Oreochromis niloticus: one gene and its partner. The main gene of each other region encodes a partner of the protein of the gene in region 2 in a complex. Links are inferred from orthologs where the notes say so. Each region holds a gene or a part of one and is shown on either strand. Other genes may lie near its edges. The genes, in order: MICOS complex subunit MIC26 and chchd6a.

Region 1 (6,750 bases), on a different chromosome or scaffold from region 2:
GACATGGGTTGGCTGTTCTACCCATGACATTTGATTGGCCCTCCACCAATATATTTTGACTAGAGTTCAATCATGGTGTAAAGGATGGGCATAGTTTAAGGGTGTGAGGCCCCTCAAGCCTTAATTCTTTCTGAAGGTCAGCAGGCAGTGGGAACTTATGCCTGTAAAAGGACTTTGGTTTATATAGAATTGTAAGGTTAACGGCCTTCCAGTCCTTTTTAACATCAACATTTTCCTGATCATTTGTGAGCTCAGTCACTAGTTATATTTCATAAAACATTAAATTTACTAAGTTCTGGTCAAGAAGTCAGAAATTATGATTTTCCAGGAAATGCTCATTGGCTAATAACATTTTATTTACAAGTTGCTAACCAATGAGCATGGACTTAATTTCAGACTGAACCACTGGTTGTTTTGGCGTATCCAGTTTCAAAATCCTAAGCTGGCAATAGCAAAATTGTTCAACTCAAAGCTGAGATTTTACTAATTAGTAGGTGATGTGATGGTGGGTGTGTATGTCGTTTTAACTAGTGCTTCTAAGTACTTCTGGGTCATGCTGTTTTCTACTTCCACTCAACAGTATTTTAGCCATTTCTACTCCATACCATTTACTTTAAAGCTTTAGAATGACTTTGAAGTTTTTACTGTAAAAGCATTAAAATATAAAGCTGAGATATCGAGCATTACTGAGCAGTATAATGCAAATGGGTCTAATGAGTACTTAGTACTACAAATGTTTTGAGTTTATGTAGGATTATGACTTTTTAGCAAAACTTATTTTATACAATATGTTTAAAATCTGTGAGTATAATAATTGTTACCTGTATATGACAAATAAAACTTGAAACTAATACACAATTTCAGATCAAATGCGACTTGCCTACTTTGGTCTTTGTCACCCCATTGAACAAAACTTAAAATAAACGACTGATTATTAAAATCCTGAATTAGTTTTCTTCTCTTTGGTGCTGACCATCTTGTTTGTGCATGTGGCATTACAGGACACAGAATCAAGGCGGTAAAACAACTTTAATGTAAGATACTGCTTTATCTCTACATAAATACACATTCAAATCGGAAGGAAGTCATTCAAGTTGCAAATCCCCCCCTTCCCTTTGCCCGGCCTGAGTTTCACGTGAAGCTTAGTGCAAAGTGTAGGCATGAAAAAGTCACGCTGTCTAGAAAGCGCTCAGTTTACAGTATCGGGATAAAGCTGCTGTGTGATTGGCTACTGCTCGGTTATTGCAGTCACGCCGGGGTCATCACTGTTTGGTCTCGGAGTCGCTGCTCATTTCGGGTTTATTGACCTTCTCAGCTTTGCTCTGGGGGTTTAGGATCTTCTCCGCCGCTGCGTAGCTCTGCACGGCCAAGTCGTACACGGAGTCTCCGGTTGACTTTGCGATGGCCGCTGCTTTCTCCGGGTAGTAGAGAGAGGCGCTCAGGGTCATGAGAGTGGTCGGGTAGATGAGTTTCTTAATCCTGGAGCCTCTGGCAAGAACCAGGCCAAGGACTCCGGTAAAGCCGATGACTCCCGCACGGGGGTAGAAGTCCTTCGGGGGGTTCTTCACATAGGCGTATGCGTCGTTCCCAAACTGGAAGACCCCCTGAACTTTGGGTTTAATTTTCTCATAGGTGACCTGACACCAAGCAGTGTACGGCTCCGCTAACTTCCTGAGGGTGGCGACTCGCTCCTCCAGCTGCCCCGCTTTAGGCTCCACGTACCGAAACTTCTCCGGGGGAGCGGTGTACAGAGACAGTTCGTCCACGTTTAACGAAGCCGCCGCCACCGCTGGTTCCTTCTCGCCGTCACCGGCAGCAGCAAACACGGTGAACGGTGAAAATCGCAGGGCTCCCGGCATGGCACTACCTGTCACCTTCAACATGATCCCCGCGGGCCATGCATTCACTACGGTATCCACGGAGGGACAAGGCAGATAGCCCCGCCTCTCTGATTCTCACCCAAACGCTTTTACTACTCTTGAAAGCGCGCCAACAGTGGCAGGAGGAATAAAGTATATCTGTGAGGACAAGGCTTTCTTTACAGATAGTAATGATGTCTGTGCCCACATCTCCAAACCATGCTTCATTTGGAACTCCAAAGATATGCAGTTTAAAAACAAAGCGTTGTTTCACCATAAATTGACTGCCTGTCATGGATATGTTTGAATGGGTTCGTTATCAATAACGTTGCAAAAAAGGAATAACATACTTGTTAAAGGTAGATTGTGAAGGTATGGGTAAACTAAATACACTATACGAACTATATTTTTAATGACAACTTTCAAATAGGAAGTTAGAATGAGGACTTAAGCAGGCTGCTTTATTTTAGTAGTCTACAATAAAGTCCTCTGTGCCTAACTGGGATATCTGCTGTTCTGATCCACTGCCCTCATAATATGATACTCAAATATTCCACGTAAAAGTCAAAGCTAAGGCAAGGTCTGCTACCTGAGGTAGGCTAAACTGGATTAAATTATTAGTATTTGCATCACTTACACTATTTTTTTTCTCCAATGTTTCTTTTTAAACAGTTTTAACAGCTGTTTACAGTACAAGCATTTAGCCTGTAACAGCGTCCTATAAAAGTCACCCAGCAGCCATCTTGCTAACGCATTCAGGCATAATTATGACACCTATTTTAAACCATTACGTGAATTACCTTTCAGTTAAATTCAAATAGTCAGTGGGACATTACATTAATAAAGCAGTCGTTCATTCTTATACAACTCTGTCCTAAAACATGTCTTTAAAACCACCATCTTTGTTTCTTTTTGTTTATTTGTTTGTTTTCTCAGTGCCTAGTTTTTCTCGTATACAGTACAGTATGCATTATTCTCAAAGCTGCTTTAAAAAAAGAGAGCTAGAGGAGATCGTTATATTAGAAATTCCCTGGCAAGGCTTCTTAGCTCACGGCTATCTGCGTAACCGTGACTCTGGCCACGTAATTTGTTCGACGTCACTGGTTTCCATGGCAGCAGGAAAGCCTGGCGTCTCCAGGGAAACAGAAAGCGTCAACAATCCAAACGTGAGCTGCTAAAATTAGTATACTAGCACCAATTAAAATAATTGTTTTGTTATAGTTGCTTATAGTTTAGCAGCTTTTTCCTCCTTGTTTGTGTCCGCTGCGCTTTTTATTTTTATTTTTGTTTATTTGTTTTGTTTTTCTGAATGGATTGTCTTGGGGTATCTTCCGAACAGAGCCTCCAGGCTCTGTCTGCCTTGTTGTCCAGTCAGCAGGACGAAGAAGAGGAAGATGAGGAGTGTAAAGTAAGATCTACATGCATCCATGTTAAAGCCCTGCTAACACTAGCTTTTAGTATCTTCCTCGGAAATTGTTGTCTCTTTACATTTTTCAACAAGCAAAATTTTAATCCTATGTATATAGCAAGGGTAATCAATCAACACTAGCAAAATGAACATTTAAAAATAATTTTTCAATAAAATATACATTTTAGGGTATTTAGAAAAGTGGTGTAAGGTTTATTAGTCTGCAGGTGTAGGCAGGGAGGACCAATGGGGGAATATGGAGTAAAATAAAGTGGAGAGAATATGTATCATTGTATTTCAACTACAGTAACCATTAAGCCAAGTCTCCCCCACACTAATATTAGTTTATGTTAACAGGATGTGAAAGCATATGCACGCTTGGGTCCCGGACACATTGGCCCCCCACCCAAAAAAGAAAAACAAGGTACTATTTTTCAATTATAAGCACTCCATAAAAGTATTTATTCAAGCATACATACTTTTTCTGCATCTGCCTTTCTCTCTTTATGTGACTGTTTAATTAGTGTCAACCGCATACACGAAGAAGAACAGCAAAGATATCTGGTGTGAAGAAGAAGTGGCCGAAGGCTCACAGTATGATGATCTGACTGACCCAAGGCCACAACCTGAGTAAGACTGCAATGCAGAAAGAGACACACACCAACAGTGGATGTAAAAAAGCATCAAACGTTATGAAAAGTGGATATTTAAAGGTTCAAAAGAGTCCTCATACTTCTTCAAACACTGTCTGTTTCTGAGTTTAGTCTCCTTCTGTTCAAGGTAATGTCTGGTAATGTGATATTTATTGTGTTTGGTTTTAGTGTGTCTGCTTCATTTATAATCTCTGTGTGCAGGTATGAAATAATCCTGAAGCAAAGTGTAGGAACAGAGGATCTCTTCTTGGGATTAAGCAGAAAGGATCCATCCTCCATGTGTTGTGAAGCCATGCTGGTAACTTGCCAAGTGTCACAAGATTTCTTAACACTTCACTCAGTGCACTTTTTTGATACTAAAATGAAATGCACAAGGTTGTGATCAAGAGCAGCAAGGCATGAATCTCCTATTAAATGTTGGCTGGCTTCAGATAATTCTGTTGAAGACGTAGTTAGTTTTAGACTTTAGAAAGGAACAGTCTAAAAATGTTGAGGAGCACAGGTGAGACAGGTTAACCCTATAGTGACCAGGCTCTATATACGTAAAAAATATTTAAATGCTTCTAATAGTGCTTATCTTTCCTCTACTGTTCACCTGATCTCTGACAGATACTTCAAAATGTTCTCAAATTGCTAAGATTGTCTTTGTCTGTTACTTTGTGTAAATATGAAATGTTATGTATATTTAAGGGAATTGTGTGTTTTAGTATGTTGGTATCATTTTCACTCCAAAATACAGATGAACTGACTTGCTGACTTACAATACTTTGATCAGCAACAAATTACAAAGAAGACATCATAGATCAGGGTGTTTTTTTCATTGTCTTTAACTTCCAATCTTCTAAACAAAATCTAAACAAAAGTCTTGTTTGTAGATTTATAAAGCTGATTTTGTTCATCTAGATTTCAGTGGGAGAAACATTTCATCACTCACCCGGGTTACTCCTTCAGTCTCAGCTGACAGCAGGTTCCCCCAAACTTATAAACAATACAGTAGCATAATGAGAGGAAGCACCATTGCTTTCATGATCAGAACACGCATTGTCATGACCACTCTTCAGTGGCCATGAGGACTATTCACAGACCTTCTGGCTCTTTGTTAAGCAATGCTGCTAGTTTCAGTCATTATGCAAGCGTACTGTGTGTAAGGTTCGAGAAACCTGCATTTAGCTGAGACTAACAAAGTCACTTGGATGGGTGATGTAGTGTTTCTCCTACTGAAATCCAAATGAAAAGAATCAACTTTCTGGGATTTCCTCACCTGTATTATTGAGCATGCATTAAAACATATGTAAAAATATTTCCAATAAATAATAATTGGAGTCTGTATTTAAAATACTTTGTGTTAAAACACTTATAAATATTGAGATTACATCCATTCACTCTTTTAGATTGGTCATAGTAAGATGCTTGATTCTGGAATAATCACCGATATGGCACAATAATTACAGCAACTATTTAGGTACTTTCAACTACTGGAAGGATCTCCACAGCAGATCCACATATTTGATTTGGCACACATTTTATGCTGGATGCCCTTCATGATGCAACCATTTATCCTGCTTTGAAATCAACATAGTACACTAGCTGTTTCAGGTCTCAAACTGGGATGTTTCACGTGTAATGTGTGTTAACCTTTAAAAAGTGGAAGTAGAAGTAGAAGTTATATTCAAAGCAGGAAACAACTAACAACATATTAATGTGAACAGTGTAGAATAATAAAGATGCTAACTTTTCCCTCACGTGTAGGTTAAAATCAAACTACCAGACACTAAAGCAACAGATGTGGTGCTGGATGTGAAAGAAAAGTTCCTTGATCTACGGACGCCAAAATAGTAAGAGATCCTTTGAAAATGTAAGCTTTCATTTTTAATTCCCTGAAGACTTAGAGGCTTATGCATGCCAAGATCTGAGCTTTGATTGCTTTATCACACAACTCTTAATGTCTTTCAGTATATCATCCCCCCCTGAGTGCTACTTGTTTTTTGTAACCTGCCTTTCCATCTGTTTTCAGCAAACTGGGGCTCCATCTCCCTGATCCGGTCCACAAAAATGAGAGCAAGGCCCAGTTCTTCAGTGAGAGGGAGGAACTGGAGGTGACTCTACTAATGAAGCGTCCTATGGATTTTATCAATATGCAATGAAAAAGGATGACTTAGCAGCAATTACCATTATACAAACTGACACATTAAGGATTAAAACCAGAAAGGAATTGGGAAATAATCAGCAAAAACATGAATTTTTTCATGAATTTTGTGAGTTTAAGCTATTGTTTGTGTCATCACAGCCTCTATGACTGTTAAATTGTGGATTTCTAATAAATACTTGACTCCAAAATTGATTATTTTCATTTTTCGCCTGAAATTTCTACACCCAATACCCTACAATGACAACATGAAAAAAATTACTTTGAATTTTTTGCAAATTTGATAAAAATAAACAAAAAACATACAACATGTACAGATGTATTCAGCCTTTGCTCACCATTATGCAAGCGTACTGTGTGTAAGGTTGGGGAAACCCTTATTTTGAGGAACACTGAACATGATACCTGCAACTATCTATTTTTAAGCAATCTTTTATCTGCATAACATTTACCATTCATGGTGCATATTGCAATACAACAACTTAATGTAGCTGTTATTACTGACTTCCATGGTGTACACATCTTAATGTGGTAAACAGCTTAATTAATCTTTGAATTCAGGTCTTTTGAGGCCATTTTATACAACTTTTCACTGGACTGGAGCCTATACCAGCAGGGCTAATATATAGTGACTGAAAAAAGATTCACAGTCACAGTCCCACCTAGGAGAATTTAGAATTACCA
Region 2 (7,239 bases):
TGCACCACATGCATCGTAGAGGGCCATCACGAGAGCCACGATGTTCTCACCTTTAGCATAGCTGAAGAGGAGATGAGACGAGGGCTGGAGGCCCGAAATAAGGTATTTTTGTTATATCTGTTATATTGTAGCATTAAATATTAGGAAGGGGGATTATTATGTCTATATATATATATGTATATATATATATATGTATTTTTTTTTAATTGATAACCTACAAAATGTGGCCACATCTGGTTCAGCTGAGCATGCACAAAAGTGAAAGTAGTGCTCAGCCAGGGCTTGTATACTGATGAATAAAATATTCAAGTTATACAAATGCATGATTCATGCTATAAAAATATGTGAGGGAACTTACTGTTGAGAAATGCCAAAACCTGAAAATCCTGTAATATAATTTTGGAACAATGTTTAAAAGACTGTGCTCTATGCATATGGGACACAGACATGGGAACCTAACTTGTTTCACATATAAATTAAGGGCTTGGCACCTCAGTGACTCACTGCCATTTTCGGGGAGTGGTGAAGATCTGGTATGCAAAACAAATCTGTCTGATGGGAATAACCTGATGACCTTTGGCAGAGTCGTGCTATACATACACTGTAAAAGTACAAAGTCAGAATGTAAAAATTAATATTTTGGACAAGAAAATGATCAAATGTTGATGGAACATGATCATATATTACTTAACATTACAGACATTTACAGTACTACATATATGTATATATAGATCTGTATTCTCTACTTGTTTTCTGAAAGCCACTTACGAGAAAAGGCCATCCAGTTTTTCCAGATCTGAAATCTTTTATGCTTATACACAATAGAAAGAATCCTGTTGTGTGAAACACAGAAGATCTTAAAACATATTATATGTGTGTTTGCAGGTCATTTCTAGTAGACTGCAGCTGACAGAGGGACTCCTGCAGAAGACAGCAGAGGATCAGGGAGCCTCTGAAGCTGTAGGAGACAAAATGGTCAGCAAGGCTGTGACAGTCATGGACAGCATAGGTGCTCTGGTGGACAGGTAACCTGCTGCACATTTGCTGCTAGTAACACTGCCTTAAAAAGTAGCATGTGGTGTAATTAAGGAAATGTTCATGCACAGTACGTTTTCAAACAGCAAGATGACAAATGATATTGGCTTAAAAAAGGTGTGGAAAACCCAGACTGCATATTTCAGAGGTGGTAGAACAGTGTTCCTTCCGGACCTTCTCTCTGACAAGCGAATTTACAGGATGCGCTTCATATTTTCAGCAGCAAATAAAAATACAGACCAAAACGCAGGCCCCTCAAAGAATGTAGCATGCATGTATGTAATGAATGCAGTTTATCTGCATTTTAAGCCTACCAGTGTCTGTTTTGTGGGATAGATTCAAGGGTGTTTATAACACCCTAATACTTCAGTAAGTTCATTTATTAACCACTTTACACAGATTTGAAGCACTGTCCACATAAAAAAGGACATTAAGTACAATAATAGTCAATAAAAAGCAATGAAATAAACAGGCAATCAATAACATTCTCAACAGAGAGATAAATAATCTGAAGCCTGGCCTTTTAGTACTCTGCATGTAAATATGAGGATTTTAAAATAAATCCTTAAATCTACTGAGAGTAAAGAGTACAAAAGGCTAGTTTTCTACTTTAAGTTCAAGAAAACATTCAAGAAAGTATATCTTTGGAAGTGAGGCAGTAAGACTGAAATGTAGAGCTCAGTCACATTAGTGAGGCTGTGTGTGAGCTAGTTGCACTTTAAGCTAAATAAAAATATTGAGCATGCATAGCAGGAATTTTCCCGGGGCTTAGGGACTCTTGGGGGAGTTTATTATGTCATATGTTGTCAGTCTGAATAAATATATGGAAGTTCGTGCTGAGGGTTGGAACTTTCTGGAAGTTCAGGAACTTCTGGGTGTGCCTCTGAGCACATTGCTTATCATTTAAGTAGCCTGCCAGCAGCATTTCAGCCAGTTTCATCTCACAGACATTTTCTCAGTACCAGGTATTTACTGAAAGAACAAAAACAAAACAAAACAAAAAACTCACATACATCATTAGATTCTATCTGTTTAGCTCTTTTGTTTGATTTTTTTTTAAATGATCTAGCTAGCTGGCTAACCTTATCTAATTAGCACAGATTAAAACTTAGACTGGTGAATATTTTCTGAGCTTTGTGAGTATTTCTCATTGTATGGATGCATGTACAACTCTAAAGCAGACACAGTGATGAATCGATCCACCTGATTCTGTCTAGTAACATTGCGATAATAAAAGGAATAAAACTGACCAGTCCTCTTCACTTGTGTGCTGTGCTGTGATACAGGTACAGGGATCGCCTGCTTTCGCTGTTGGAGGAGGAGAGAGGACAGCGCCGCAAAAGCTGGCAGCTAGGTATGAGTGCACTTGAGGAGCAGCAGCAGCAGCTGATGGAGGCCCAAAAGAGCGCCACAGAGGTCCTCAATGAGACAGACACATGCATCTTTATACACAGGTACAGAAATCTGCCCTGCTATTACAATTAAAAAGAAGAAATACATAGAACAATGTACAAATGACAAGAAAGTGGAAATGATGCAGTATTCTTACTGATAAACTGACACTTCTCTGTTTATTACCCATGGCATATGGCTAGATGAGTGGGGTAAGTAACAATAAATCTTTGCTCTCCAGGTTCATGCAGATTGAACAAAAGCTGAGAGATGTTGTCACCAGTGCCATTCCCTCCTACATCCCCTCAAAGACTCCACTCAATACAATGCTCCTGCAGGGAGGCCTCAAAACCCAAGACTTCTGCACAGAAATGACTCGCCTCATGGATTCTCTTCATATCCTCCTCAACCCACTGGAACTCACCTTCAGCATCTACACCGCCCACCCCAACCTGCTGGTGTCCAACGATCTGCGCACAGTCAAATACAGTTCCAACAAGCAGTCGTACCCGGAGCACCCCGAGCGTTTCACGAGCACACCTCAGATCCTGTGCAGCCAGGGTTTCTCTGGCGGCGAGCACGTATGGGTTGTAGAAGTGGGACCCAATAGCATGTGGTCACTGGGTGTGTGCTACAAGAGCATCCCTCGCCGTGGTGACCACAGCCGTCTGGGGCACAACACTGTGTCCTGGAGGCTGCAGTGGAAAAATGGCAAGCTGACAGTGTGCCAGTGCTCCTCGAATGTGGTCCTTAAGGAAGTGACCACACCACCGGTCAAGATTGAGGTCACACTGGACTATGAGGGGGGAACTTTGACGTTCCACAGCACCAAAGGGCGCAGGGAGCACCTCCACACCTTAAAGGCTGTGTTTAAAGAGCCTGTTTACCCGGCGTTCGGTATACATTCAAACACACCAGACTCCTGGATCACACTGAGCAGTGGGATGTGAATACGTCCTGCATAGAAATTGCTTTGTTAGTCAGCCAAGTGAACTGCCTTCCAGCTAACACAAAAACCAACAATGTGTCTGCTGCCTGGCATTGCTGCATCGTATACATTTAGCATTACAATCACATGAGATTGTTTACAAAAATTTGTTGTTCATACTTAGGGTGTTTTAATAGAGTAGATTTATCAATGCAGGCGCCTATTACCTTTGTGAGATCTTGAGGCATAAACATTTATGTCACAAGATCATGTTTTCATTTTGTGTGTTTTGTAAATGTTATTGTAACGTGTTGAATGTTGTGTTTGTCCCCCATACAGTAAACACTGGTGTGCGCAGACGCTGACATTTAGGGACAAACTGAGACATGTTTTGTGTTTATTCTACAAATAAACTTATCTGGCAATGTTTCTGTGCGTCTTGTGACCAACTTTGTCTCAATACTTATACAGGTGCATAGAAATAATCTATGCCGTATATAGCCTTTGATTGGCTGTTGATATTTCAGCCATTCAAGTATGACCCTGGAGTTGCCAGGTGTGCCTGTAAATCCTTGATTTAAAAAAAAAAAAAGCGATTAAGCAATTTGCATTTGATATGACTTTCCCCAGAACACACATCTAATAATTTCTTATTAACAATTTCGTTTTCACACGCAATTTTATCATTTCTTGCCAACGCACGATCTGACCTTTACACATGTGCAAGAGGAGGATGGTTCACGAAGAACCTGGCAACCCATCCCATCTGTCTCACATTCTGTCATTGGGCAGGACAGCAACATTATTTCATATTATAAACATTTTTCTCACCACGAAAGCTGTGCGTTTGCAGCAGAAGCATGGGTTCGGGAGAGAGTACAACAAGAAAAGTGTCCTTCGGTGTCGACGATGAGGACAGGGTCAGAATTCTCCGTGGAGTCAAGGTAATGCTAATTTAGCTAGCACTTGAGAAGCCATGCTAGCATTACTTTAATGTGTCGCTTAGCACTGACTGGCTATTGTCAAATTAAGTTGTTGCTTTGTTCAAGCTATCAGTCTACGACCGGTAGAGTGTCACTGCTAAAATGAGGAGGTGCAAAGGGACGCAGAGGGTGGGATAGGTTGCTGAAAGAGCTGAAATACGTAAATCTTTTTGTTACCCCAAACTCCATTGGTAATAAGGTGAAAATAGTAATGTTCCTTGTTCACAAGTAAAGGAATACATTAGGGAGATGGTCTAAGAAATATAGAAAACTTTAGGACCTTAAGGTAAATTCGGCATATACATTGCCCACCTAGCAGGAAAACTAATTACCCGAAATTAAACATTTTAGCTGTCACCTACTCGCTGGCATTTGCTAACAACGTTAACGCGATAAAACGTTTAGTTTGCATTAAAGAGCATTAAAGAACGCTGTTATCCTACTGGAACATGTCAGCTGCACAGTAAGTGTGTATCGAAAAAACGGGGAGAATCGTATAAATGTCATAACTGCCTGATATGTTGTTTTAACTAACCATATGTGTAATTAGAAGTGGATGGCTTTAAATGAGCAAATTTCAAACGAGGTTTGGTATGGAGTTGACGCCTCTTTAGTGTTGCTTTCACGTGCTGTTGGACATATGTTTTTAACTTTAGCTTATACTTTTAGAACATCTAAGAGTAGAGCGAGTTAGTGTATGTAAGTGAAACCAGTGAAACACTAATGCAGTTGCATATATAACTAAATTGTCGTCTTCTAAAACAGGAAACGATAATATACAAAACAACAATTAGAAATGATTTTGAACAGGATATAGGCATGTCTAGTTTTGCTGAGCTTTCGGTCATCTGTCAAGCGCTGACAACATCAGTTAGATAATCATACACCACCATGTTTATTTCGTTTCTGAACTCGTTTGTGGAGATTCTTGCATTGTCATAATGATGCTGATGTGTACTCGTTTCACCTTTAGCCTGTTGGCGTGTGTGATTAAGTGGCAAATTAAAATTCTTAAGTTATTCTTCTTGCATGCACACACATACAGAAAATCAGCTGGTGTGGGTGTGTGCCTCCAAATATCCTAACATTATGAGGAAAAACAACCACTGGAAAATGAAGCATGTCAAAAATTAATATGTTGTGGTGGAATGCAATGACATGCAATGGCTGTGAGCAGTTTTGTAAGTTGACCAGTTTTTATGTAGTGCTTTTCTACTCTGAGCACCCAAAGTGCTTTTAAAATGTCTGTAAGAAAAGAGCCTGCCTTGGTTGCACATTCAGTGTGACTCATAGAAACAGTGAGTCAGTGCTCCCTTCTGTGGTTTTTGGGGTAGTAGTGCTTAAGGACTTCCCTGGATACACAAAGACACACACACACACACACACACACACATACAGATACACAAACACTAGAGGTTCAGTGATCCTCTATTAATGGCATGTTTTTCTTGTTTGTTTGTTTTTTATCTGAAGGATTACACAAATGTTGTTTTCTCTTAAATAAATAACACACGTCATGTATATGATATGATTTGTGGTTGACTCTGTTTGTCCAGCTGTCAGAAGATGTTCTGCAAAGAATGAGAGGAGTTGCCAACATTGCCCCAGAACGCACGTCATCACCTGCCTCAAGCCCTCAGACAAACACAGGTAGTGATCATTTTTGAGATTAAATTTTATTGATGCCTCCGCCATTATCGAGTTTGCTTACAGACCAGTTTGTTTTAATTATTCCCCTTTTGATTTCTGACAGTTTATTCTCTCTGTATTTGTGGGGGTAGGTTTCACGGAGTCTCAGCATTAACAGTTTTATTATCTCTCAGTGTGAACACACTGACTGAAACTCAGGTGTAAAACAAAAAGCCTCACCCGCTGTGAATTTGGCATCATTGTTCTGCCATGTGCAATTGCGAGTACAATGTGCCAACATCGTGTGAGAACTTGATAAACTTTGACACATACAATTCGAATGGAGTAGACAATTTGGAACTGGTTCTCGATTCTCATCTGTAAACGCACGTATCACCTCAGCTGATAGTGTTTAACCTCACGAGAAAATACTTCTTTTAGAAAAAAACGTGTTGCCTCAGCTTTTTAACTGGAAACCTGTGTCAGAATAAACTGAGAGCGTGAAATGATTTTGGCAGCCAGGGAAAAGATGTGGTGTCCTCCTTTGAAGAAGAAAAAAAAAGTCACTACTTTCTTTCTTTGGTGGAATTTAATTTACTGAAATTGACTGTTGCTTTTCAAGTAGTCAAAATTTGCAAGAAAATTTATAGAGTTTTACACTTCTTTTAAGATAAGATAACACATATTCACTGTCAACTAAATGTCTGACCTAAAGTAAATTTTGAGCTACAGTTCATACAAACTATATATGTATATATATAAATGTAAACTTCAACTATGTTTGATTATATAGCATTAATTATACATGTGCATTTGTCCCTATTTTGACAGTAAAGCTGTAAGCCACAAAAGTGCCAGTGTTGTTGTTACCTTGTGTGATAGTTTTGTCCTTTGAACATTTGTTGTCTTTGTTCAGCCTCCTCTCACAGTGCCAGCTCAGGCTCTCAATCTCAGCAAGGCCCACAGCAGCGCGCCCCACCCAGTTCTCAGCACAGCAAATCGGCCTCCTTTAGCAAAGAAGATCAGAGGAGGTGGGTTAAAGGAAATTCAGGATACAGATTTGAGTTAAGCTGATTTCTGCCTGGTGACCATTTGTATGCATTGCAAATAGAATTGTTGCATATCAGAGCAAAAGGTTTTTTGTGATTTGTTATAAATCACAAGGTTGTGTTGCTGTTTGCGTTGGAAAGAAAACAAAAAATATGGATGGTGTGCCACATTTTTTTTGAAGGCTCAATCAAAAAAACTAAAATGAGCTGTAACAGGATAATA

What was found.
Region 1: chchd6a (region 2) and MICOS complex subunit MIC26 share a complex: the UniProt entries of both Homo sapiens proteins name them as parts of the mitochondrial contact site and cristae organizing system (MICOS) complex. The link is inferred for Oreochromis niloticus from reciprocal best matches to the Homo sapiens genes CHCHD6 and APOO.

Annotation. Positions count from the first base shown.
Region 1 is NC_031982.2:27,117,017-27,123,766, reverse strand, and holds MICOS complex subunit MIC26, read right to left. Parts: upstream 1,971-6,750; 5' UTR 1,884-1,970; coding exon 1,263-1,883; 3' UTR 735-1,262; downstream 1-734. Other genes in the region: dnaaf6 (dynein axonemal assembly factor 6), read left to right, coding at 2,741-3,025, 3,199-3,267, 3,625-3,691, 3,792-3,897, 4,122-4,218, 5,670-5,755, 5,935-6,064. UniProt on the Homo sapiens protein: Component of the MICOS complex, a large protein complex of the mitochondrial inner membrane that plays crucial roles in the maintenance of crista junctions, inner membrane architecture, and formation of contact sites to the outer membrane.
Region 2 is NC_031984.2:29,252,305-29,259,543, forward strand, and holds the start of chchd6a (MICOS complex subunit mic25a), read left to right. Parts: upstream 1-4,080; 5' UTR 4,081-4,215; coding exon 4,216-4,299; intron 4,300-5,894; coding exon 5,895-5,988; intron 5,989-6,883; coding exon 6,884-6,998; intron 6,999-7,239. Other genes in the region: E3 ubiquitin/ISG15 ligase TRIM25, read left to right, coding at 1-102, 886-1,025, 2,322-2,489, 2,669-3,377. UniProt on the Homo sapiens protein: Component of the MICOS complex, a large protein complex of the mitochondrial inner membrane that plays crucial roles in the maintenance of crista junctions, inner membrane architecture, and formation of contact sites to the outer membrane.